Linked DNA regions of Arabidopsis thaliana. The protein of the gene in region 1 interacts with the protein of each later gene in a biochemical or structural test. Each region holds a gene or a part of one and is shown on either strand. Other genes may lie near its edges.

Region 1 (7,881 bases):
AGTTAAGAAAATCTTAAAATTACCATTAGAAACCAACAAGATGATCATCAAGAGAGCAGAGAAGTTAACTATGAGCTTTGCCATATTTCTTTGTTGTTGTTTTGTGTTTGCTTCTTCTTCTTTTTTTAATAGAGCAGAGATTGATGAGCTTGTAGCTAACTATTTGAAAGCATAGAATCATTTATAGGGCAAACTCGTTGACTTTTATTTCTTCTATTTGAATCCAAGACATATATAGTTTATTAGTTTTTGTGTAATATGGATTAATGTATATAATGTCGCCATAATTTGAATTGCTAGTTGACAAAACAGAAATGAATTGCACGATCCACCCAATGTCTCGCTAATGATCTCTCTATGTTGCATCCAAATTGTAACAATTTTTTATATAGCAACATATTATAATTTTAATGTCATTATTTTGGCCCAACTAAAATTCAAGGGATGAGGATAAAGTATATAGAACACCAAACCTTGTATCATACGTATGAATACACAGAAATAGTTAAATATAATTATTGAAGTGTTCTTAGTAAAGTGCCTTGACTCAACTTAACATAATGAGCACATATAATGACATTGATATTGTATTGACTCTTTGTTTCATATGATACTATACCAAATAAATTTCTTATTATATAAAATGTTTTCATAACAATTTGACATGTCGCATAATTATAATCTCATGTTTTGCGATTAGCTTTTCCGCCAAAAAATGCTATATAACCAGAGGCTTAGAGTGAGAATAAAACAAGAAACAAATCAAACACAACAATTTTCCGCTTGTAAATGTGATCGTAGCCTTGGAGGACTTATAACTTAGGGTTCATGGGAGAATGTTAGTGGACGAATACGGGAGCGTTGACACGTTTGGTAGTTATTATTATGTTGTGTAATTAAGACTTTTTCTGGAAGCTAGATCGTTTCATCATCCCATATTCAATACAAACTTTATATATTACTAATACTAATTCTTTCGGGCTTTACAGGCCTAAACAGTTCTTAAGACTTGTTCACTAAATTATATATTAAAGTACAATGGCTCTTTAAATATCAACTTGTAACAAATTTGCTTGGACGTCTTCTTCCTCTCTGAAAAATCTTTAGCACAAATTTGAAATCCTCGAATATTTGGTCGGCGATGAGAAAGCAAGTATTAGCATTGAGTGACACGGCGGCTGCGAGGATTCGCCAACTTCTGCAGCATCAGCAAAAACCTTTCCTCCGCCTTGCTGTTGAAGCCAAAGGATGCAATGGCCTATCTTACGTCCTCAATTACGCCCGTAATTTCCATTTTTTCCCACATATATATTTCTTTTTTGTTGATTTTTTCCTCATAAATTATGTTGATATATATTTGATGCTCATGATGAGGAGGGAGTTCATATTGATTAGAGAGATGTATGTAATAATTAAAGGCACATATTCTATCAGGTTCAGAGTCAAGTTTTAGGGTAGGTTTTGTCACCTTCCTAGGAACCTAAGACCTTTTGTTTTGTAGCACTTTTGAGAACTTTTAATAGATGACTTAAATGTGTCCTGACTCCTGAGGCTTCCTATTTGGCGTTGTTCTGCTATGATCTTTGTTTTCAGAGGAGAAAGGGAAGTTTGATGAGGTGGTCGAGGAGAAAGGTGTAAAGATCCTTGTGGATCCAAAGGCGGTGATGCATGTGATTGGGACAGAGATGGATTTCGTGGACGATAAGCTTAGGTTTGTGCCCTTTCACGTGCCAATCTTGACACTCTCTTTATTCATGGTAAACATGTTTGCATTGTATTGGCACAGGTCTGAGTTTGTGTTCGTCAATCCAAACGCGACAAAGTGTGGATGTGGTGAGTCATTCACGACAACATGAAAGGCAAAATTACACATATAACATAATAAGACATATATAACTCTATTACTCTACCACAGTAGTCGATGAAATTTGCTTTGTAAATACAACTATCTTAAGGCTGTCTTCCGTGTAGGTTCGCAATTTGCGACGTTTGCGATGATTTAATGTAATGTGAATAAGTGTGTGTGGAAATGGGTTTCGTTTCTACGTATTACTCTGGATTTCTTACGACTTCAACAAACCAATGAAATTTTGACATCAAAAATAACTCCGACATAAAAATTGGCCAAGTCGGAAACATTTTACGATAAATAAAAACCCCACACTGAAGCCTGGTAAAAAAAAGTGGGTAGAAATGTGAGTGTGGTTGATTACTCTAGCCCGGTTAAAGTCAGCCACTTTAAAACACAAACATCTTCCTCTACAAGATTCTCACACTCTCTCTCTCACTCACACAAAAGAAGAAGAAGAAAAGATTCTGGCAAAAAGATTCATCCTCCATTCCTCCTCCTCTGACGATATCACCGATCAACAGCTCGGAGATTCCACTTCCGACGGCTGCTACGTCATCAAGAAGGTTGAGAGAACTGTGTGCAAGAAGAAACAGGGCTGGCGTGGTAAATCCATCAAGACATGCCAAACATCCATTGAGATCCATATCCATTGTCAAGCCAAGTAAGCATTTCTGTTCTCTCGGAATTGAGAGTTTTCTAGGGTTTAGAGTTTACTTGATTCGTACGGGTTATTAGTGATTTTAGAGTGTTTGATTTTGTAAGTTACATGATTACAGAGTCTTCCAAACCAACACGGTTGACACTGATCAAGACGATCTCAGTGCTCTTCCGAAACGGTTCTAATTAATTCTTCGACTTAATCTTAAGAAAATTTACCCTACTTTCAATCACTAACTAACTTGTTTCTCTTGTTCTTGATTGTTGTTGTTGCAGCTAGAAGAGGAAGTGGAGAAGGTATATGACTCGAGAAGAGTGTGTTCCACAGAGAATGCAATAGACAAATCAACATGAAGAAGACAACACTCTCTCTCTCTCACGTTTACTTTGTTCCTTGCTCTTTCTCTCCTTGTATTACTGAATGTTAAGCAGTACTCTAATGTAATTTGCATCTTGATCTATCTAGGTTACTAGGTTTAACTATCTGACTTGTGTCCCGAGTATCTTTTGTCTTGCGCATTGTGTCATTCCAAATTAAGACTCTTCATGGTAGTGCACAGAAACAGAGTGTACCTAAATCTACAAGTGAGCATAACACTCGTTATATTTTCCAAAGATTGATGATGTTGAAACACAGAATCACTTTCTTTGTTCACAGGGAACACTAGTAAAGCAGATCAGATGGTGTTCCTCCTACCAACACAGAAAACATCAAAGTATAAAGATTCTATAACCTCATTCCTCAAAGACAAAACAACAACGTAGAAAATCATCAGTTTTTCCCTCGTTCTGTCTCCGACTTCTTCTCCATCTTCCTATTGTTTGTTTAGAGTGGACAACTCGGGTTCCTCATCAATGTCCGCAATCTCCCGTTCGATTTCGGCAATTTCGGTTGTGCCCTTGACTTCAAACTCTCAAAATACTGCAACCATAAACCAACAATTCCATTTTGTAGTTTTCTTCTGACCAAAATACTGCAACCATCTTAGTAATGCAAACTCAATAGGTGTCTTTACCTGTTGCTTCCTCTTCCTCTCCAACTCCGCCTTGATGAAAACATAACAAAGGCTAAATTGTTACAAACTCACTTTCACAAAAAGAATAAACTCTTTAACGAGATGAGTAAATATATACCAATGCATGTTTTAGCTGCGCATTCTCTTCTTTCAACTGGTTAAGTTCAGCTTCCAATTCCACTGTATATGCCTTCCCAAAACAACAACAACAAACATTAGATTTTTTTCAACAAGAAACATCATAAAAGGAATGAAGAAGGTCTCTATTTACTTGTTTTCTTGCTCTAGATCTAGCAGCAGACTCGCGGTTCTTGATCATCCTCCTCTGTCTTCTCTCCACTACTTTCTCCACTGGACCATCCACTACTCTTTTCCTTCCCCTTAGCCCTCCCATATCTACTCCATACTGACCTCCTATGTTATCCACTTGTCCATGTCCTAATCCATCTGAAGACACCGGGCTTAACGGTCCAACCATTCCCATTTGCTGTCCACCCGCTCCAAACCCAACGCCACCTCCATAGCAAACACCTGCCTGAACTGGTGGCGCCTGCTGATACCCTCCTCCTCCTGTCCTTTTAGCATAACCTGATGGGTCACCCACACCCATAGCTTGACCCGGGAATGAAGGATCACCGGTTCCTTGAAACACACCATAAAGCTGTTGCTGTGCAGCTGCGGGTATTACACTAGACGGGTTTTGGTTTTGGTTCGGGTTTGGATTAGGTTTAGGATTAGTGGGATGTTCTCTAACCACACCAGCCTTCACCAAGAAATCCTCAAGTGTCATCTCTCCAAAAGTCGGTTGTCTAGCCGCAGTCTCACCGCCGTTCTGAGCATTGTTCTGTCCATTACTACTACTACTACGTCCATTGCTGTCTCCTCCATTACCGCTACCACCACCTCTATGTATCTCAGACCAAACCTCATCAACAGTCTTCCTACAAAGCGGAGCTGGAAGTGTCAAAGAGCCTTGTCGAGGAAGACTAGACTCGTTCGCTATCCCTCTCTTATTGTTAGCATCTTCGTTGCCTCTAGAACCACCACTAAAGACACCAACACCACCCTCGCCTCCATTGTTATTGTTGTTGTTGAAACCATTGTGATTAGCCGGAACAGAATGTGAACCTGCAGCTGCTGCTGCTTGTTGTTGATTGTTATTATTCTCCTCTGCGTTCCAAATAGAGACAAGAAACTCGTCCATGTTCATGGACCCAAAGTTCTTGCCGTTCTCACATAAAGCATGTTGGAACTCGTCAAGGGTCAATGAGTAGATAGAGGATTGTCTTCCCAAAGAAGTAAACGGATGATTCTCACCACCACCTCCTCCATTATGTCTCGCTTGCGCCATGGACGACTCTACTTCTCGCTCTGACGTCAACTTCGTTTCTCTAGTTACCATTTAACAACTGCATCATATACACAACAATAACCATTTTTATATCTGTATTCACACAAACTATATTGAAATATGGATACCACCTAAACGACAATAACAATTTTGTCTCTTATATATTAAATTCATCGTATTATTTTGACCAAACTTCAGTTACTTGTCCCTGTTCAGCTATTCACGAAACTCACTTAATAGTTGTCCCTTATTCAACTATCACGAAAAAAGACAATTGAATTATTTGATAATTGATGCTCTCAAAGAATGAAATAAATTATTTTGGTAAAGTGGAGTTTAAATGACGTAAAAAATATTGAAATAACAAGAATGAAAGAAGGTAATTAAGTCGGTCCACGTGAAAATAAAGAAGAACGGTCCACATCGTGACAGCGACAAACGATACTAAAATTAGCAATAAATAAACTAATAATTTACTCTTCCAATAAAGTTTTCGTTACCAAAAGAGGAAAATATCTTAACCCACTCGTTTTCTTCTTAAAGCGAACTTATCAACACAAGATTTTTTTCCTCTTTAATCATTTATTAATACGGTTTTAAACAAAAGATAATCTAGAGCTTAACCTGATGATTAGTAAAATAAATTAATCATTAGCTTGGGTCATCATTATATCCGTCTATTACTAAGTATCACTTTACCACAAAGTTTAATATTTGGTAATACGCAGATAAGTAAGGACCAGAAAACGAAGACCTAAACTTATAAATAAAGAGATAGATTTATTTAACAGTCTTCTAATCCAAGATCTTGAAAAATTATAAAACAAGAAAAGTGTTAACCTGAAAATGAAATCTGTGTGTCTAAAAACCGGTGGCTTTGTGTTCCTCCGCCGCCGGAAAACTGAGAGAATCCGCTTCTTGTTATGGAGGTTCTCCTCCTTCACATAGTTTAAAAGCCGCCGGAGAATTTTGACTGAAAGGTTTTGAGAAAGAGAGAGATAAATGGGTAGGAGGCGGTAAAAGAGAGATTGATATTTATGTTCTCACCGTGAGAGTGTGGCGCGTGGGGTCTAAGAAGAGAGGCGTGAAGGTCAACATCTTTTGTCTAAAGTTATCTTTCGACCAATGGAATGCTAACTTAGACAGGTCCAGGTCCAGGCCCATGATCAGAGACAAAGAATCCGTTCGGCTGCGGACGACACGTGTCCTGCACGTGTCTCTCTTCTGTTTCTTGCAGTGTCTTCTCACAGGCTCGACACGTGTGACTTCGGCTACACAAATGTTTTTTTACGTCTAAAACTAGACATGATTTTCTCTCTTTTAAGCATATATAAGATAATAAGAACGTGAAATTTGGATTAGAAGAGCGAATTAAAGTGTGATCTTTTTTTACATATTGGTTCATGATTTGTTTTGTGAAATTGACGGATTAATTTGATTGATCAATACTGATTTACTTTGGTAAAAACATATTTAGGTTAGATTCAAGATGTTATGAAAGAAATAGTCAAAGTTTGTAAACACTTGTTTGTCGTTGAGCTTCTAGCTGGTGAAAGTAGACTTGTTAGATTTTGAATAGAATTACGTTTAGTGAGACAAAAACTTATTAAAGAATTAAAACAAATCAAAGTCGAGAAATTATCCTCTTCCTTTTTTACTTTTTTTTTCGAAGATATTTTATTTAACTTTGACAAAAAAAAAAAAACATGATTCCGAACTTCCATTGGGAGTGCACGTGGACTATTCACTGCATAAGGACTATCGAATTTTAAATGCTTAATTTATCAAGTGTTTCTAATAGCCAAAAAACTAAAAACAAAAATAAAAAAGATTATCCGACCTGCCGGAATCGAACCAGCGACCTAAAGATTACAGCAACTACTACAGTCTTCCGCTCTACCAACTGAGCTAAGGTCGGATTGATGCTAATTAGCCTAATGCGGTTTTATATAAACTTAACTATTAATTATCATATTGGCCTCTTTAGTTACTTTTTTCCTTTGATTGTTTTTAGACCATGCAAACACAAACACAAGTGGCCCATAATTCAATTAATACACCTAATTTTGTTCTGACACATCTCACAATTAATGGCTGTCTAAGCCTAATATTAAACTAGTTGACATTAGCCTAAAATTGGGTGATATACAGAAACAGCTTTTTGAGATGAATGCTGAGAATGTTTTACATAGGTACCAGAACTCTTTACTAATCACCCACAATATATATCAGCAACCAAGAGAAACTTGAGATTCTCATGAATCTCTCTGATCCCGGTTCAAAATATCATAGCAATGCATGTTACAAAACCAAAACTAGCCAACTTTTTGAGAGAGAAGACATCGTTTACTTCTTCACTCCATCATTGGTTAAGAGCGTTTTAACAATGTTATTAACCATACCTGGAGCAAACGGGAACAAATGCCCTGCTCCAGGAATCTCATGGTAATGGATCCATGGCAGCTTCTTCGCAATGTAACGTTGCAGAGTCACAGGGACAAGCACATCATCATCTCCCTGCCACAAGTGCACTGATCCTTCATTGTTCGGGAACAGATTCTCGAGCTCCATTGGATCGAACTCCCAAGTTCCAAATCCAACAATCATGTCACGGTGCAATGTCTCGTGTGTTCCTTGTTGCCTTATTTGTGCCTTCATAGAGACTTAGATTTGATAAATGCAAATAGGTAGGTGAAGAAAAAGAAGTCATGAAGAATGTTGTATATACCTCATGTTGGCTCCTTGCAGCACCGAGCTTAAACATGATCTCTTTGTCTGCTTTGGACAACATACCGAGATTGCGAGCCACAACACTTGATCCAGGGAACCAGCTCTGGGAGTTCCACCAATGAGTAAGCCAAGGAGCATAGTGTGCAACACGAACCGCCCATTGGTCATTTCTCCCTTGTTGGTTAAAAGCTTCGGTTGAGATCTCTGATGGAAAGTTCTTCCACCAATAGTTCACCACTGGAGCAACAAGCGTTACTCCAGCCAACCTTAAGAAG
Region 2 (7,375 bases), on another chromosome or scaffold:
TGGCTTTTCGTCCAGACCGATGAAATCCCTTCTGCTATCAAACCCTACCGGAGCTTCCAGAAGGAACGCAAGCTTGAAAACAATGACTTTGCCGGCGCTGTCTTCGAAGGTAAGTTCTACGCTCCTGACAATTTCAAAGTCCTCGAGACCATGCCCACTCGTGCTGAGGTCTACGCTAAGATGCTCGGTGCTCTGCAATCTCCGGCTATTAATCTCGTCACTACTTTACAAGCACCAGCAAGAGAGGTTATAATGGTGCTTATGGCTTACATTAAGAAGTTGGAAGATGAGAGTAATGCATAGTTAAGCTTGTACTAATCTTTTGGAGAATGTAATGTACGCAACAAAAGGCAATTCAATTTTTTGTTTATGACTCTCTCAAGCACCAATTGTTATTACAGTGACTGAGTTTTATTGAAATGTTGTTTTTCGGAGTGCTCTCAAGCTATCATAACGGTCTTGTTTAGATGTACTTAGAGAGGATAGATTCAACAACTCCCTGAGCTATGGGGTGATAAGTTTCTCGAGCTTCTGCAAACACCTGTTTTGCCAGCTGCTTCTCTTCTGTTCCACCAGATTGTGCAAGAGCAGTGAAGAGTGGACGCAGGTACTTCATCCTTCCTACCTCTTTTAGTGTTTTCTTCACTTCCCCATGGTACTCTCTGCACTTGGATGTGACTGCAAGTTGCAGAAACGAGACCTTCACTTCATAGTCTTTCGATTCTGCCAGTCTGTACCGCTTGTCCAAGGCCATGACCTGATTCATCAATGAGCAAAGTGGGTGTTAGCCATAGGTTTGAACCTGATCACCAATCCTTCCTTTGTTGACTAGCATTGTCATTAACAAACAAGATAAGATCCTAACTCTTGCAAAGCCAATACACTTTCCACAATCATGAACTCTCCCAAAGCCAAGAGGGTTTTTCCACAATCATTATTCACTAGCCCCACATTAATCCAAGAGTAACTATTGAGCTAACCTAACTGACAGTTAGTTAGGCCTTTTTCTCCTCCTTATGTAAGCTTATTGAGTAGTTCAACCTAAGTCAAGCCATTTCCCATTATCTTAGAGGAAGAAATAAAGATTCACTCAGCAAGTACAGCTCCAAGTACAGCTCCCATTAACTTAGAGGAAGAAAGGAGTAAAGAGTACCTGAGAAGGTTCACATGATTTAGGAAGATTCTCCAAGTACAGCTCCCATTCCTGTCCGTTCCACTCAGCAACATCATCCTCACTTGGCATCTTTCCTTCCTTAAACTCTTTCGCCAGGGATATGATCTTTGTGTAAATGGTTGAGACTGGTTCATATGCATCCTCTGGTATACCAACGCCCTCAGTCCACAGCTGTAGATTGATCTCTTTCTCTATGCCAGGGATGTTTGCTTTCAGGAATTCAAGAAATGTGTTTGTATCGATTGACTTGAACTTGAAAGTAGCAATGTATTTCTTGAGGAATTCGTCAAAAGCAGTTCTTCCAATCTGAAAGTTTTCCAGTAAATAGATGACCATTATTGTAAACATTACATAACAAAACACCTAAGCGAAGAGGGCAATTCAACTAACCTGGCGTTCAATTCGCAACACAAATTGGAATCCTTTTTCATATGGGACCTGAGAATATACATCATCTGGATCAACACCTTCTTGTTTGTTCCACAGTTTAGTGCACTCCAAGTTGTCCTTAAACCGTTCCATTTCATCAGTTAAACCCCTCCAACCAATGCCAATGTTCAAAGTAGCTATATCCGCCCCTTGAACAACCTCCACAATTCTCCTCTCTGCGTAAGTTGTAAATCCCTATTGCCATGAACATGAAATAAACACTTTCCCATCAACAAGGCAAACTCTAAAAACGGACACACAGTTACACATCCTAATTTGTAGCTAAAAGAAGCAAAAGCACAAGACAATTCAAAGCTACCTCATTCAACCAGAAGTGTTCATTGTTGATATTAGTGATCAAATTCCCAGTCCAGCTATGTGCGAGCTCGTGAGCTACAACTTGAGCTCCAGTGGCGTCTCCTTTGATAACAGTAGGCGTCAGGAAAACCATTCTTGGATTCTCCATACCTCCATAAGGAAAACTCGGAGGCAGCACCAGTAAGTCAAATCTCTCCCACTCGTAATCTCCAAACAGCTTCTCCCCTTGCTTGATCATATCCTCCGTTCCTGCAAACTCCAGAGCAGCCGCATCTAGAACTTCAATGGCGGCAGATTCTGTGTATACCCGAGTCCTAGGTCCAACTTCCCGAAACCCTAACTCACCAACGGCAAAAGCAAATAGATAAGGCGGTATAGGCTGTTCCATAGCAAACTCTTCCACAACTCTATCCTCACCACACCACAGTGACGACCCCAGCGACCCAGCCTCGAGATGTTTAGCCTCCTCAGGAACCGCAAGCCTACGACGGACGTGGCGAGCCGACATGACGGCAGAGAGCGAATTCGGTATGTTCATAACGACGTCGTAACGGATCCTCGCGGCAGGAGTGTCCTGGCATGGGAAAATGGATCTGGCGTGAATCGCTTGACACTGCGTGTAGACATAAGGATGCAATTTGGAGAAAGTTTGAAGCGGCGAAAGCCACTGGAGAGCGGAAGCAGAAGGCGAAGTGGAGTAGACAATTAGCAGTGAAGATTGACCGGAGAGGACTACGACAACTTCGGTGCCCCGAATTCGATCCGGTGTGGTGGAGACGGAGTAAGGGATAGGCTCGAGAGTGAGAGGATCGAGGACCATAGCAATGGAAATGCAGCGAGTATCAAGAGAGAGTTCGCCGGAGAAGGCGGAGGAGAGAGTGAGGAGAGCGGAGCCATGGATTATGGAGGTGTTGAAATCGAGGTAGAGGGAGAGAGCGACATGCGTGGTGAGAGGATGAGAGGAATCGGTGAAAGAGTGTGGATCAATGGGTGCCATTGCTGAGTGAGAGAAGCTTGCTTAGGGTTTTGAGGAAAGGGGCAGTTAGAGAGGTGGAGAAGAGAGTATAAAGCGGGAGAAAAAGAAAAAATGAAGAATTGTTGTTCGATGGTACCATTTTATGATGATAAATAATGTATTTTTGGAATAATTTGGTTAATGGAGAATCATTTAGTGCATAAAGTTGAAACCGTTAGATATTAAACGGCGACTAAATACAATGTTAAACCCAAGTTGGATGAACCAAAAGCACACCAAGCCACCAACAATCCTGAGATTTTTAACAACCATCTTTTTGGGCTTGAGCCTCTATTGAGCTTCAAGTTTTAGGTCCATGAGTTATACACTCACACGAGTAATCTACTTAGCAACAAACAACGAGTTTACATTTTGGTATTGGTGTCAGATTTATCGTCTCATTATTTGGTGAACTCTATTACAAGATCAAACAATCTATTTGTTTTTGCATTTGGCTCAAAAGCTACTTGGTAAAAACTTCGCCAAAAAAAAAAACTCTCAGTAAAAATTACAATTATTTTTTCCTGATGGTTTAAGTTGTTGATGACAACAAATATAAAATCTGATGGTTGACGATTACTACTATTAGGAGAGTCAATAAACGGGTTCGAGCACAAGTGCTGACGGCACCCACCCGTCAAAACCGACGAAACCAGAGAGCCCTCGAGACTCAACCCCAAATAAAATTGGAAAAAAATGAAAATAAAAATAAAAATGATGATATAAAACCCTGAAGAAGAACCTTTTTCACATTTTTCTTACAATTTTTATTCTTGCTTGCTCGTGTCTGATTTTTCCCAGCCAATTTTGATCTACCTTTCAAAAATTCCACCTTTTTCTTTCTTCTCCATGGATCTGTTCTTCTCTCCTTGATCTGGATCGACTTTACTGAGTTTCCTTCCCCCCCCCCCCCCCCCAGATATGTTCTGAGGAACTCTCTCTACTGAATTGATTGGTCTTTCACTCCCTTCTTACTCTTTGATCTCGCGACCTAAATTAATTTAGGGCTTTCTCTTTTCGGAGCTCTCATGGTTGGGAGAGTCAAGGTCCCTTGTTGTTCCGTGTGCCACACGCGGTATAATGAAGATGAGAGAGTTCCTTTATTGCTTCAATGCGGCCATGGCTTCTGCAAAGATTGTCTTTCCAAGATGTTCTCTACTTCTTCCGACACAACCCTCACTTGTCCCCGGTGTCGCCACGTGTCTGTTGTTGGGAACTCTGTTCAGGGTCTCAGGAAGAACTACGCTATGCTTGCTCTCATTCACGCCGCATCCGGCGGCGCTAACTTCGATTGCGATTACACGGATGATGAGGATGACGACGATGAAGAAGATGGTAGTGATGAAGATGGAGCTCGTGCCGCTCGTGGATTTCATGCCTCAAGCTCGATTAATAGCTTGTGTGGTCCAGTGATCGAGGTCGGAGCTCACCCGGAGATGAAGCTGGTGAGGCAGATTGGGGAAGAGAGTAGTAGTGGTGGTTTTGGAGGTGTGGAGATGTGGGATGCAACTGTTGCAGGCGGTGGTGGACGGTGTAAGCACCGTGTGGCGGTGAAAAAGATGACTTTGACGGAGGACATGGATGTTGAGTGGATGCAGGGACAGCTTGAGAGCTTGCGGAGAGCATCCATGTGGTGTAGGAATGTTTGTACTTTCCATGGGGTTGTGAAGATGGATGGATCTCTTTGTCTTTTGATGGACAGGTGCTTTGGGTCTGTTCAGTCTGAGATGCAACGCAATGAAGGCAGACTTACTTTGGAGCAGATTCTAAGGTTCCTCTTTTGCTTCTCTTATTCTTTTTTTTTGCCTAGTATCTGGCTTTTACTGTGATCGTTTCTGTGCTTAAAGTCTCAAACTTTGATAGCCTGTTCCCTAATTAGAAATTACTGGACTAGACCCGACTTGGTTTTTTGTGATTGCTATTAGAAATATATATTGTAAGTGCACAGTTTTTCAGATTCTAGTGAAACAAGCAACTAAAACCTGGTGTCATTTGCCAAAAGGGCAACTTGTAAGATAACTTTAGTTTAGATGTTCTTAAAAAGCTAGGCACGAATTATAGTAGTTGTCATCTCTCTTTGTCATTACCAGCTGCAGCTACTTTTCATCTGTCAATGCCTCAATAGACAAACATTTTTTGGACTAGTCCTTTCCTTTTTAGTAGTGGATCCTTGAACCTACGTTTGCAAGATATCTTTGAGAAAGCCCTTTACATTAGTATGCTTCCTTCTAAAGTATATGACCAGAAATCATTTTTCAACGAACTGACATATCAAATCATGCAAAAAATTGTACGAATTGTTATACATTAATTTATCAAAGGACGCATCATCTAAAGATGATCCTTATTTTGTTGTCCTGGTTCTAATATTACCTTCAATTCACTTGTTTGTATTTCCTCCTATTTTCTGTTTTTAACTGAATTGCGTCATTTGGGACTATTAAATGTAAGCACTAATGCGTAAATGAGTGTTTTGTATTCTCCTTTCATATCGTGCTCATGTTGTTTTAAGTTTACAACTTAGAATATTCCTTCAGTGACCAACATATGTATTATTCCATTGCTCTTGTTGTGATATTAAATTTTACCAACTGTAGATATGGGGCTGATGTTGCTCGAGGGGTTGCAGAACTCCATGCAGCAGGTGTTATCTGTATGAATATAAAACCTTCCAATCTTCTTTTGGATGCAAGCGGCAATGCTGTGGTTTCTGATTATGGGCTCGCTCCCATCCTAAAGAAGCCAACATGCCAGAAAACTCGACCAGAGTTTGATTCCTCAAAAGTCACTCTATACACGGACTGTGTAACACTCAGTCCACACTACACTGCCCCAGAGGCTTGGGGACCGGTGAAAAAACTTTTTTGGGAGGATGCAAGTGGTGTATCTCCAGAATCAGATGCATGGAGTTTTGGCTGTACGTTAGTAGAGATGTGCACTGGATCCACTCCGTATGTGAAGCCTCTTCCTAGTTGATATTTCAGTTGTGTTTTGTGTCTGCCATTGTACTAACTGTCACTTAATTTTACAGGTGGGATGGTCTTAGTAGAGAAGAAATTTTTCAAGCTGTTGTGAAAGCCCGAAAAGTACCACCACAGTATGAACGCATAGTGGGTGTGGGAATTCCTCGGGAATTATGGAAAATGATTGGTGAATGTCTTCAGTTTAAACCGTCGAAAAGACCAACCTTTAATGCAATGCTTGCTACATTTCTTCGTCATCTACAAGAGATACCACGTAGCCCTTCAGCAAGCCCTGATAAGTAAGAGTTTTAAGTCCCTAAGATTACTTAGTTTTATGGTTTCCCTGTTTTCGTTGCTTGTCAGTAAAGAAGACCCTTTCACTTGTGTTAAGATTAATATTAGCACCAACACCTAAGATTATTTTTGTCATCATGCCTATATTCCTTCGCCTAACAATAATATAAACCATGTATGATGTAGTGGGATTGCCAAAATATGTGAAGTAAACATTGTACAAGCACCTCGCGCGACTAACATAGGGGTCTTTCAGGATAACCCTAACAACCTACATCGGGTTGTTTTGGAGGGAGACTTTGAGGGTGTAAGGTTAGTATCTGTTAGGAATTCTAGTTAATCCTTTTGTTCGCACTAGCTATAAACAACCTGTTCTCAACTACATTGGTTTGATTTTTGTTTTGGAGTAGAAATATACTTGCAAAGGCTGCAGCTGGAGGCGGTGGAAGCTCTGTGCGATCTCTATTAGAGGCGCAAAACGCTGATGGTCAATCGGCTCTTCACTTAGCTTGCAGACGTGGCAGTGCTGAACTTGTGGAGGCTATACTGGAGTATGGGGAGGCTAATGTAGATATCGTGGACAAAGATGGGGATCCTCCTCTTGTCTTTGCTTTAGCAGCTGGATCTCCACAATGTGTTCACGTTCTCATTAAAAAGGGGGCTAATGTGAGGTCCAGACTGCGGGAAGGATCTGGCCCATCTGTAGCTCACGTGTGTTCGTACCATGGCCAACCTGATTGTATGCGTGTAAGTCTCTGCTCCCGAGGAAGCTATCAGTCACTTTAAAGCTTCCACAACATGATCGCAAATCTTCCACTTATGTGAAGTGTATCAGATATTATGCTTGTCTTATATCTATTATCATGTTAATAACTATTCTCTGCTAATTGGTACTATCAATAGGAATTGCTGGTAGCTGGAGCCGATCCAAATGCAGTGGATGATGAAGGTGAAACTGTGCTTCATCGAGCTGTTGCCAAGAAATACACAGATTGTGCCATTGTTATATTGGAAAATGGGGGATCTAGATCAATGACTGTTTCAAATGCGAAGTGCCTGACGTAAGTACAGAAATGACCTCTTTCTATGCTAGGTAGACGGGACCATAAAATTTGGCACGGATAGATTACTACTGGGCCATTTTAAAGCAAGTTCTGTTTGGTTTTATTTTGTAGTTCTTAT
Region 3 (7,513 bases), on another chromosome or scaffold:
TAACAACTTCAAAAAGTAAGATACGAAACATACCTCCTCAACTTCTTTTTCAGTGGCTTGCTTGTTTAGTGAACCAACAAAAAGCTTAAACTCTAGGGTGCCTTCAGAAGAAGAGAACTATATCACTTGATAGTAAGGCAAAGAAAACAGGGAAAGAAAAGGATCAACATCCATAAAGTTCATATCATTTCCCACATTTTCTTAATTTTTGTAATCTGAACTTATGCAGCGTATGGTCTTGGCTATGAACACTAGACAATGACAGCCACATTAGATACTCTGTGTGGAAGTTGATTACCTATGCGTTCTCTCTCCCCGTCAGCATATCGAACTTGAACAGGACCAGTTCCCTGGGAATCAACAAAATTATAAAAGGTGAAACAACCTATAGTTTCCTGTTCTTGATAAGAGAAAGCCTCAGGGTAATTACCCCAGGAAGAGTGATCTGATTGTGCAGTGCTCTGATGGCTCTATCCGCATCTTTCGAAGTTGCATATTTTACAAAACAACAGCCTGCATTAAAGACTGATACTTAAGCTATCTGTTTCAGGGTTCAACTTTTCCTTCTACCATCAAATTGTACTAGTAACAAGATGTACTACTCAAAGCACATAAGTTCAGTAGGAAAATCATAAGACATGTCTGACAGCCTCCACTTAAATATTGATGTAAAGTTGTTGGAGAGAATAAATTAATGTCTTCAAATGGAGAATATGGCAAAAACAAATATTAAAAAATTGAACACAGTCAGTATCTGCAGATAACATATCTACAAGAGGGCCTTTCAGACAAAGGGTGGCTGCATTTGTCCAAGCAGGATCCATTTGAAAGAAAATCTAGAAACATGTACAAGTTAATTAGCAACATAAAACATAACTATAGGTCCAAAGTAACGGATTCAGTATGTAAGAATCTCAATAATTGATGAGTAGCGGATAATCAAAACCAAAACATATACACATTTTCGTCACCATACATCAAGCATTTGAAGACTTCAAATAAAGAACTACAGTTATGGGCAAGATAACTCATTGGAAAAAAATCTAATTCAGAAAAGAATACGATTGCTTCATGTAATACATAATTAGGCCCCTGCCTGATGCTGATTGATCAAGGGCAAGAGAGTGAAGTCAACATGCTGTATTAACATCAGAAACTATTCTAAGAAACTAAAACAATCAGGTTCCTTCCATATGTTTGCACCACCTAACATAATAATATTTCACAAGGCTGAAGAAAGAGTTGTATGGAATCTAGTACATTCAACCGCGATCAAAAGTGTTTATGTCACCACAATCAGATGCATTTGTTCTGCCATCCACAAAGGTGTAGCAGTTATAGAAATAATAACTTCTTGGAAAGTCAAGAATTTATAAATAACTATGCACGTACAAACACACCATTCATCGTCTAGTATTTCTTCACACTGACAAAATAGAGACAGAACTAAATGGAGTAGTAGAACAGGAAATTCAATAATAAAATAACAGTTGCACCTTGCAAGCACAAAGGCTTGATTAGCGAAAAGGGAGCATACAAAAAAAATCTATCATCAAACATTTCTTCCACATAAATATCGATCAGCACTGCAAGGGCCACCATACAGACATAAGAGCTACTCAACAAAATATTCATTCATCTATGACGAGAGATGGTATATCACATCACAAGCCATCCAAGGAATAGAGACGTGGGAACATACAAAATACATACATAAGAACTACTAAACAAATCATTCATTCACCTATGACGAGAGATGGTATATCACATCACAAGCCATCCAAGAAATTGAGAGGGACGACCATACAGAAAGCACACATTTCAGGCCATTCAAAGAGAGTGGAAAGAAATATAGCCATCATAGTTCCTCAGGCCATCAACAAAAGAAAAGGAGAAACGCATTCATTCCAGCATCACTCATCCAAAAAGGTAAAAGGAATGCCATCATTAACCAATAGACAGCACACCCATAAATTGATATGAAAGAAAATGAAGACGCCAAACCTCCAACATGATAAAATTAGAAAGACGGCCAAATCTTTGACCAGCAGGAGTGGCAAATCAAGAAACCATCTTTTGAACCTCATGTCCTTATCAAACTACCAACTTAAAAAAATACATTCATCCTGTCAAGACCATACACAACATCTTCAATCCATCTAGAGGAAGAGTAAAGAAAATGAATTTCAATAGGAGAGGAAAATAGCGATGTTCTTATAACCAATTCCCACTATAAAGGCAACAGCAAAATTCAGTTCTCTGTACATTAACTCCAACTCTAAAACACCCTCAATAAATTCTACACTTTTCAAACACATCTAAAGTTCTAGAATACACACAAGTAGCGAAATCTATTTGCCCAACATAAGTACATAAACCCTTTCTTAGCACAGGTAGCCTTCTTCTGTGACAGAATCGAACACAGATAAGACGCTGGCAAGCATAAGCAATAAGCCCGAAAATTGTTGCAAACAATTGGAGGCCAATGATGAGACTGGGGTTGCTTCCCATCAGCCTTTTCAGGGAGACCTGAAATTTTAAAAAGTATAATTCACGACTATTTCCTAATAAAATGGAGATTGACATACCTTGCTGCTGTCCAGTTCTCTTGTCCTTGATCAGAGCAACCTCCAGAACATTTCCATGCTGTTCGAAATAGGGACGGATCTACAATATGAAAACCAACAGAAAAAATTTAGAAAAGGTTCTCAGTAATGAGTATATAGATAACAATGATTTCCAAGATTAACTCACTTCTTCTTCTGTAGCTGTCCTTGGTACAGATCCAACAAAAAGCTTGACTGTACTGCTACGATCAGAGACATCTGCAAATCAAATTAACCAGATAAGGATACACATGAAGATGGCATATAGTTTTGATTATCACATACATGGGAAAATCGAAAGGATCCTCTAGAGTCGATCCCATGAAAAACCTTCAACAATACAGTAACATAACAACCATACTACCTTTCAATACTCTAATCATTGATTCCCACAAAAATAAGAGACACTCAGGAACCTTAACAGACTACAAGAATAAATATACATAGAAGAAAGAAGAGTGAACTCATGCTTACCAGTTCCAGTAAAGCTGCCATGGTCTGAGATAGGATACCCTCTTTTCTGACCGGAAAGAGGCTGCTGGACCGGCGGTGTAGTCGGTCTTACAGAATAATCAGACTCCATTGCTTTACCGATAAATCTCCTCCTGTCTGGACTCTCTGAAGGAGGATACTTCGCGGGATAGTTATACCGAGCTCCAACAATTGACCGTGTCCCTTCTCCTCCCACACCACCGTTAGGACCCATTGGACGAAAACCATCATCGTAGGCAAACCCCATAGGCCGAAAACTTCCACCATGGTGAGGACCCATAGGCTTAAAATCTACTCTATCTGGGGGACCATTCATCTGCCGGAAACCTCCATCTCCGGGACCATCAAAATCCTTAGGAGTGTCATCTTCCCAGCGTCGACCACCATTACCTCCTCCTCCGCCCCCAATTCCAATTCGATAATTGCTAGGGCTGCTTCCACGACGACGACGGTGGCGGCGAAAATCATCATCATCCTCTTCGAAGCGTGAATCTGAGGGACGAGATGGACCTCTGGGATGGGCTCGGTGGTTATGGTAGGAATCCTCGTAGCCGCCACTCTCATGGCGATCCCTTCGGTGTCTGTCCAGCTTGACGTAGTGGGGAATTGCGATTCCAGTCGAAGAAATCAAAGGACTAGGAGCCCTAGAAATTTGGGATCTGTATGAAACCAAAGAGAGAAGAAACGAGTATCGAAGATGATGAATTTGATTGAAGATGAGATCAATTTAGTTGCTCGAAATTTTGATTTTTTTGTCCGAATGTAAAAAAGAAAAAGCGGTCTAGTTACGGTAATAGTGGTTGGACCGGTGATTCAGTTGAAATTTGGACCGGTAGACTTTATTGAGTCTTGGCTGATAACGAAAAATACAGCTACTTGGGCCATCAATATATTTATATACTGCCAAAAGGGGGATACAATTGTTCCAATGAGTTTTCGTTAACAAAAGGAAAAAAATTGACATTTCAGGTAACTCTCACATTCTTAAGTCCAATCCAAAATTCTCATGTCAACTATATGCTTCAGAAACATTTTGATATAGTACATGCATTTCATGGCGTTTATTAAATCATGTGTTGGGTGATCAATAATATAAAGTTCTAAGTAATGCAAAATACTTGCATCACTATATGAATTTAGAGGATATATGACTAGGTCTGAACTACCTTTTACCTAAAATAATCAAATGAATATTTACTGTTCGTCTCCTTCATCATGAGTCACTAGATTCATGAGTCAATAATCAATGGCTTTGTCTTGAGTCAAGTTAATCGTTTAACAGGTTTTTAATGGTTTGAAAGCAAAAAGAAATCTTACCAATATATATAAGTGTAAAATGTAATCTCTATATATCACAAACACAATATTGTTATTTAATCTATGATCTTATTATCTCAGAAAATTAATCTAATAATTAAATGACCTATAAATAAAGAACTAAAACAAAAAATCTATCATTGATGAAAAATACACAAAATAAGAGAGAAAGTTAAAACAAATGTTTTTTATTATTTCAATTTTTTTTTTGCCAAAAACAACAAGATACATGTACTAAAAAATTACCAAAAAGCAAAAATATGGCTTCACCATCCAACTTCCCATTTTCTTGACAATACATCTTCACCGCTCGCTGAATTCCAAAGATAAAGGCCATCAGTTTTTGCAGTCCAAATGCAATTCTTCCAACCGCATCTATGGAACAAGATAACATCATCCCAAAACACGTTTACATTCATATGACCATTATCTTTGTTCATATAGCACCAAAAAAAAGTTGAGTGAAGCATATTTTCTCCGAAGTTCCAAGAAAATCTATTTCTAAACTTCAGATTAATTTCACCTAGATCATCTTCTTTAGATTTACAATGGATGAAAAGAGTTTCACCAGTTGTCAAACCGTTAACAACCGTGACTTGCCACTCAGAAATCTTCGGGACTATAATGTCTCTCGTGGTGGTGCCGCCGACTAAGACATGGTCTTGACATGTTAGGGCCAGAGAAAAGCAAATTGCCAAGAGAAATTGTTTGATGCAATTCATACTTTTTTCAGGCAAGCAAAATCTTTAGGGAGAACTTTTTTGTTACTTCTTTTTATAATGGAAGAGTGAAACGGTAATTGACGTTTAATTAAATTTTGATGTTATTACATTGCATTAATGAAGAGTCATGCTGCAAATCATTTAAGTGATTGCATGTTAATTAGAAATGAAGCTGAAAGGTTAGTACATATAATAATCCAAGTACGTAGATGATTGTGGCATAATATATTAAGATTAAAAAATACTAATTTATATTGTGGTGTAAGCTATTAGTTTTGAATTTATTATGTGAATCAATTTTAAAAGTTATTAGTTTTTAGATTTAGATTATGACCCAAGAATTCGAAGTATATAATCGAAAAATTTAATGTATAAAAATAATAATTCAACATGGTCGATCGGGTATTTATTTCTAGTAAAATAGTATTTCATAAACCTAATTTTAGTTAACTATATAAATTATAACACTAGTAAAGTATTCTGCCTTTTACGTTACTTTATTGGGATTAATAAAAATATATTGGATTCGTTGAAATCCAATAACAAATTGTAATTTTGATCTTTGATTCATAGAAACAAAAAGTTACGAAATTAAAGAAATTTTTAAACAAAAGAGTACTCGACCAGAAAAATATGTTTTTTTTTCTATTTTCTCACTCATATTTTTCAGATAGAGAAAGCAATTTTCAGTACACCGAAATTAAAATCCGACGACTAAAAATAGTTTCTTCTCTCTCTCAAATCCTTCTGAGAGGAGAGGTTTCTTGTCGATGGAGTTTGATTTCGGTTTTGTCTGGAATTTTATATATTTTCGTGTATATACAAACAAAATAACTGCCGACCTTTTATCGGATTTCCGTTATTAGCTTTGTTCGATTTATCAAAATTTTATATACTTTTGTGTATATACGCTCTAGCGAAATTGATCTCTCTTCCATCTGTGTCCGTTGATGTCTCCGTTTTTCTTCTAAATCTTATACGATCTCTCCAATTTTTTCGAGGAGTAACATCTTTGTCACTTCCTTTTGCTAAGTTCATACTACATCAAGTTAGGTGTATATAGTGGTGGAGTTTCCTCGGAGTTTGGTGTTGTTCGAAGAATTTCGAACAATCTCTTTCAATAGATCTAGAGATTAATTGACGGTTGGTTTGGAACTGAGATCGTTAGAAAGGAGGAAGTTTCTCAAAATGACTTCATTAAGCAAATGCTTTTTCTTTGCATTCTTGTGTTTCATTGCTCTCTTGACTCCATGAATGGCAAAATTAAATTACCTAGGTGATTATTTACGCTATCCTACAGATATTTTCGATTTTTTTTGTTTTGTTTTGTTTTATTAAATATTATGTTTTGATAAATTTAGTTTCTAATTTACTAAGCACTCACTCATCCATTCAACAAATTCAACAAGTATTCTTATTTCTTAGTGTCAAAGTACTTTTCTTATCAACCTTATCAACAATGTATCACACTCACACTCTTCAGAAATAAATTTCTATCCTAAACCAAGTTTAAAGATGATAATGTTGAGATTATATAAACCAGTAAGTATATGGTTAAAGTGAAAATAGTGCTATATATTATTTTCTTCAACATAATACCGTAGTTTCTAATTTGATTTTCTAAGTAAATCTAAATTGAATAAAAAATTTACTTTTATCACTAATTTTAATTTTAACTTTTTATAAACTAGATATCTTTTTTGGTAATATATTTTTAATTGTAAATCATTGACTCATATTTTCATTTACCTAAATACTAAACCAAAACAATCTTTTCAACTATATATTTTCCCCATGTACTTAACTAAAATATCATAAACAAATACCATACGCAGCGTTTTGAAGCATACGTCGCATTTCTCTTTAATCGTTAATTTCCTGATTTAGGCTTCACCAATTTTTTTTTTTTCCCTGATAAAAATTTTAGCTTCACCACCACCATTGTTCGTTTGGGTGTTTTGAACATTGATGAATCGTTGCTTCTGAGATCTCGACGAAGATAAAAAGCTCTTCGGCTACTTCAGGTAAATTTCAATTTCGATTTCTGTATCACCAATCTCCTTGCGAATGAGGTTTTGTAAACCCTAAATCCAGTTTTGAACCTCTTTCTCTCTTCCCTAGTAGCTCTCTTTCTCTATCCACTAATTCTAGCATTTTGCATCAGTATTCCTCTCTGCGTTCATTTCTGTTTTGATGTATGTGATTGCCCTAATCGTCTTGGCCGTTACTCATTTCGTTTTCCTTTTACTCTGGTTCTAGGTTTCGAGCTCACTCTGCTAGAAACCCTAAAAATTTGATTTTGTGAACTTCCCGTGGTAAATTTGAAAGGGAGATATCTCAGAACCCCTACCAAGGACGAATCTTGATCAGAGCAGA

The links.
Region 2: the proteins of ABI5 (region 1) and KEG form a complex in vitro, tested with the Arabidopsis thaliana proteins (2 studies listed by BioGRID, with this or other methods).
Region 3: the proteins of ABI5 (region 1) and FCA form a complex in vitro, tested with the Arabidopsis thaliana proteins (one study listed by BioGRID).

What each region holds. Positions count from the first base shown.
Region 1 is NC_003071.7:15,201,645-15,209,525, forward strand, and holds ABI5 (Basic-leucine zipper (bZIP) transcription factor family protein), read right to left. Parts: upstream 5,993-7,881; 5' UTR 5,717-5,992; intron 5,017-5,716; exon of another isoform or gene 4,935-5,016; 5' UTR 4,928-4,934; coding exon 3,797-4,927; intron 3,716-3,796; coding exon 3,644-3,715; intron 3,556-3,643; coding exon 3,424-3,555; coding exon of another isoform or gene 3,336-3,423; 3' UTR 3,101-3,335; downstream 1-3,100. Other genes in the region: AT2G36255 (Defensin-like (DEFL) family protein), read right to left, coding at 24-84; AT2G36260 (Iron-sulfur cluster biosynthesis family protein), read left to right, coding at 1,142-1,283, 1,594-1,711, 1,787-1,856; AT2G36290 (alpha/beta-Hydrolases superfamily protein), read right to left, coding at 7,223-7,528, 7,605-7,872. UniProt on the Arabidopsis thaliana protein: Participates in ABA-regulated gene expression during seed development and subsequent vegetative stage by acting as the major mediator of ABA repression of growth.
Region 2 is NC_003076.8:4,341,654-4,349,028, forward strand, and holds the start of KEG (protein kinases;ubiquitin-protein ligase), read left to right. Parts: upstream 1-3,548; 5' UTR 3,549-3,964; coding exon 3,965-4,707; intron 4,708-5,533; coding exon 5,534-5,887; intron 5,888-5,967; coding exon 5,968-6,198; intron 6,199-6,379; coding exon 6,380-6,505; intron 6,506-6,603; coding exon 6,604-6,940; intron 6,941-7,096; coding exon 7,097-7,254; intron 7,255-7,375. Other genes in the region: EMB3136 (Ribosomal protein L10 family protein), read left to right, coding at 1-303; AT5G13520 (peptidase M1 family protein), read right to left, coding at 464-757, 1,154-1,480, 1,565-1,798, 1,923-2,918. UniProt on the Arabidopsis thaliana protein: Mediates E2-dependent protein ubiquitination. Acts as a negative regulator of abscisic acid signaling. Required for ABI5 degradation, by mediating its ubiquitination.
Region 3 is NC_003075.7:9,210,999-9,218,511, forward strand, and holds the start of FCA (flowering time control protein FCA), read right to left. Parts: upstream 3,828-7,513; 5' UTR 3,415-3,827; coding exon 3,081-3,414; intron 2,826-3,080; coding exon 2,755-2,825; intron 2,668-2,754; coding exon 2,589-2,667; exon of another isoform or gene 514-2,588; coding exon 431-513; intron 351-430; coding exon 299-350; intron 102-298; coding exon 34-101; intron 1-33. Other genes in the region: SPH1 (S-protein homologue 1), read right to left, coding at 4,682-5,137. UniProt on the Arabidopsis thaliana protein: Plays a major role in the promotion of the transition of the vegetative meristem to reproductive development. Plays a role in the regulation of flowering time in the autonomous flowering pathway by decreasing FLOWERING LOCUS C mRNA levels.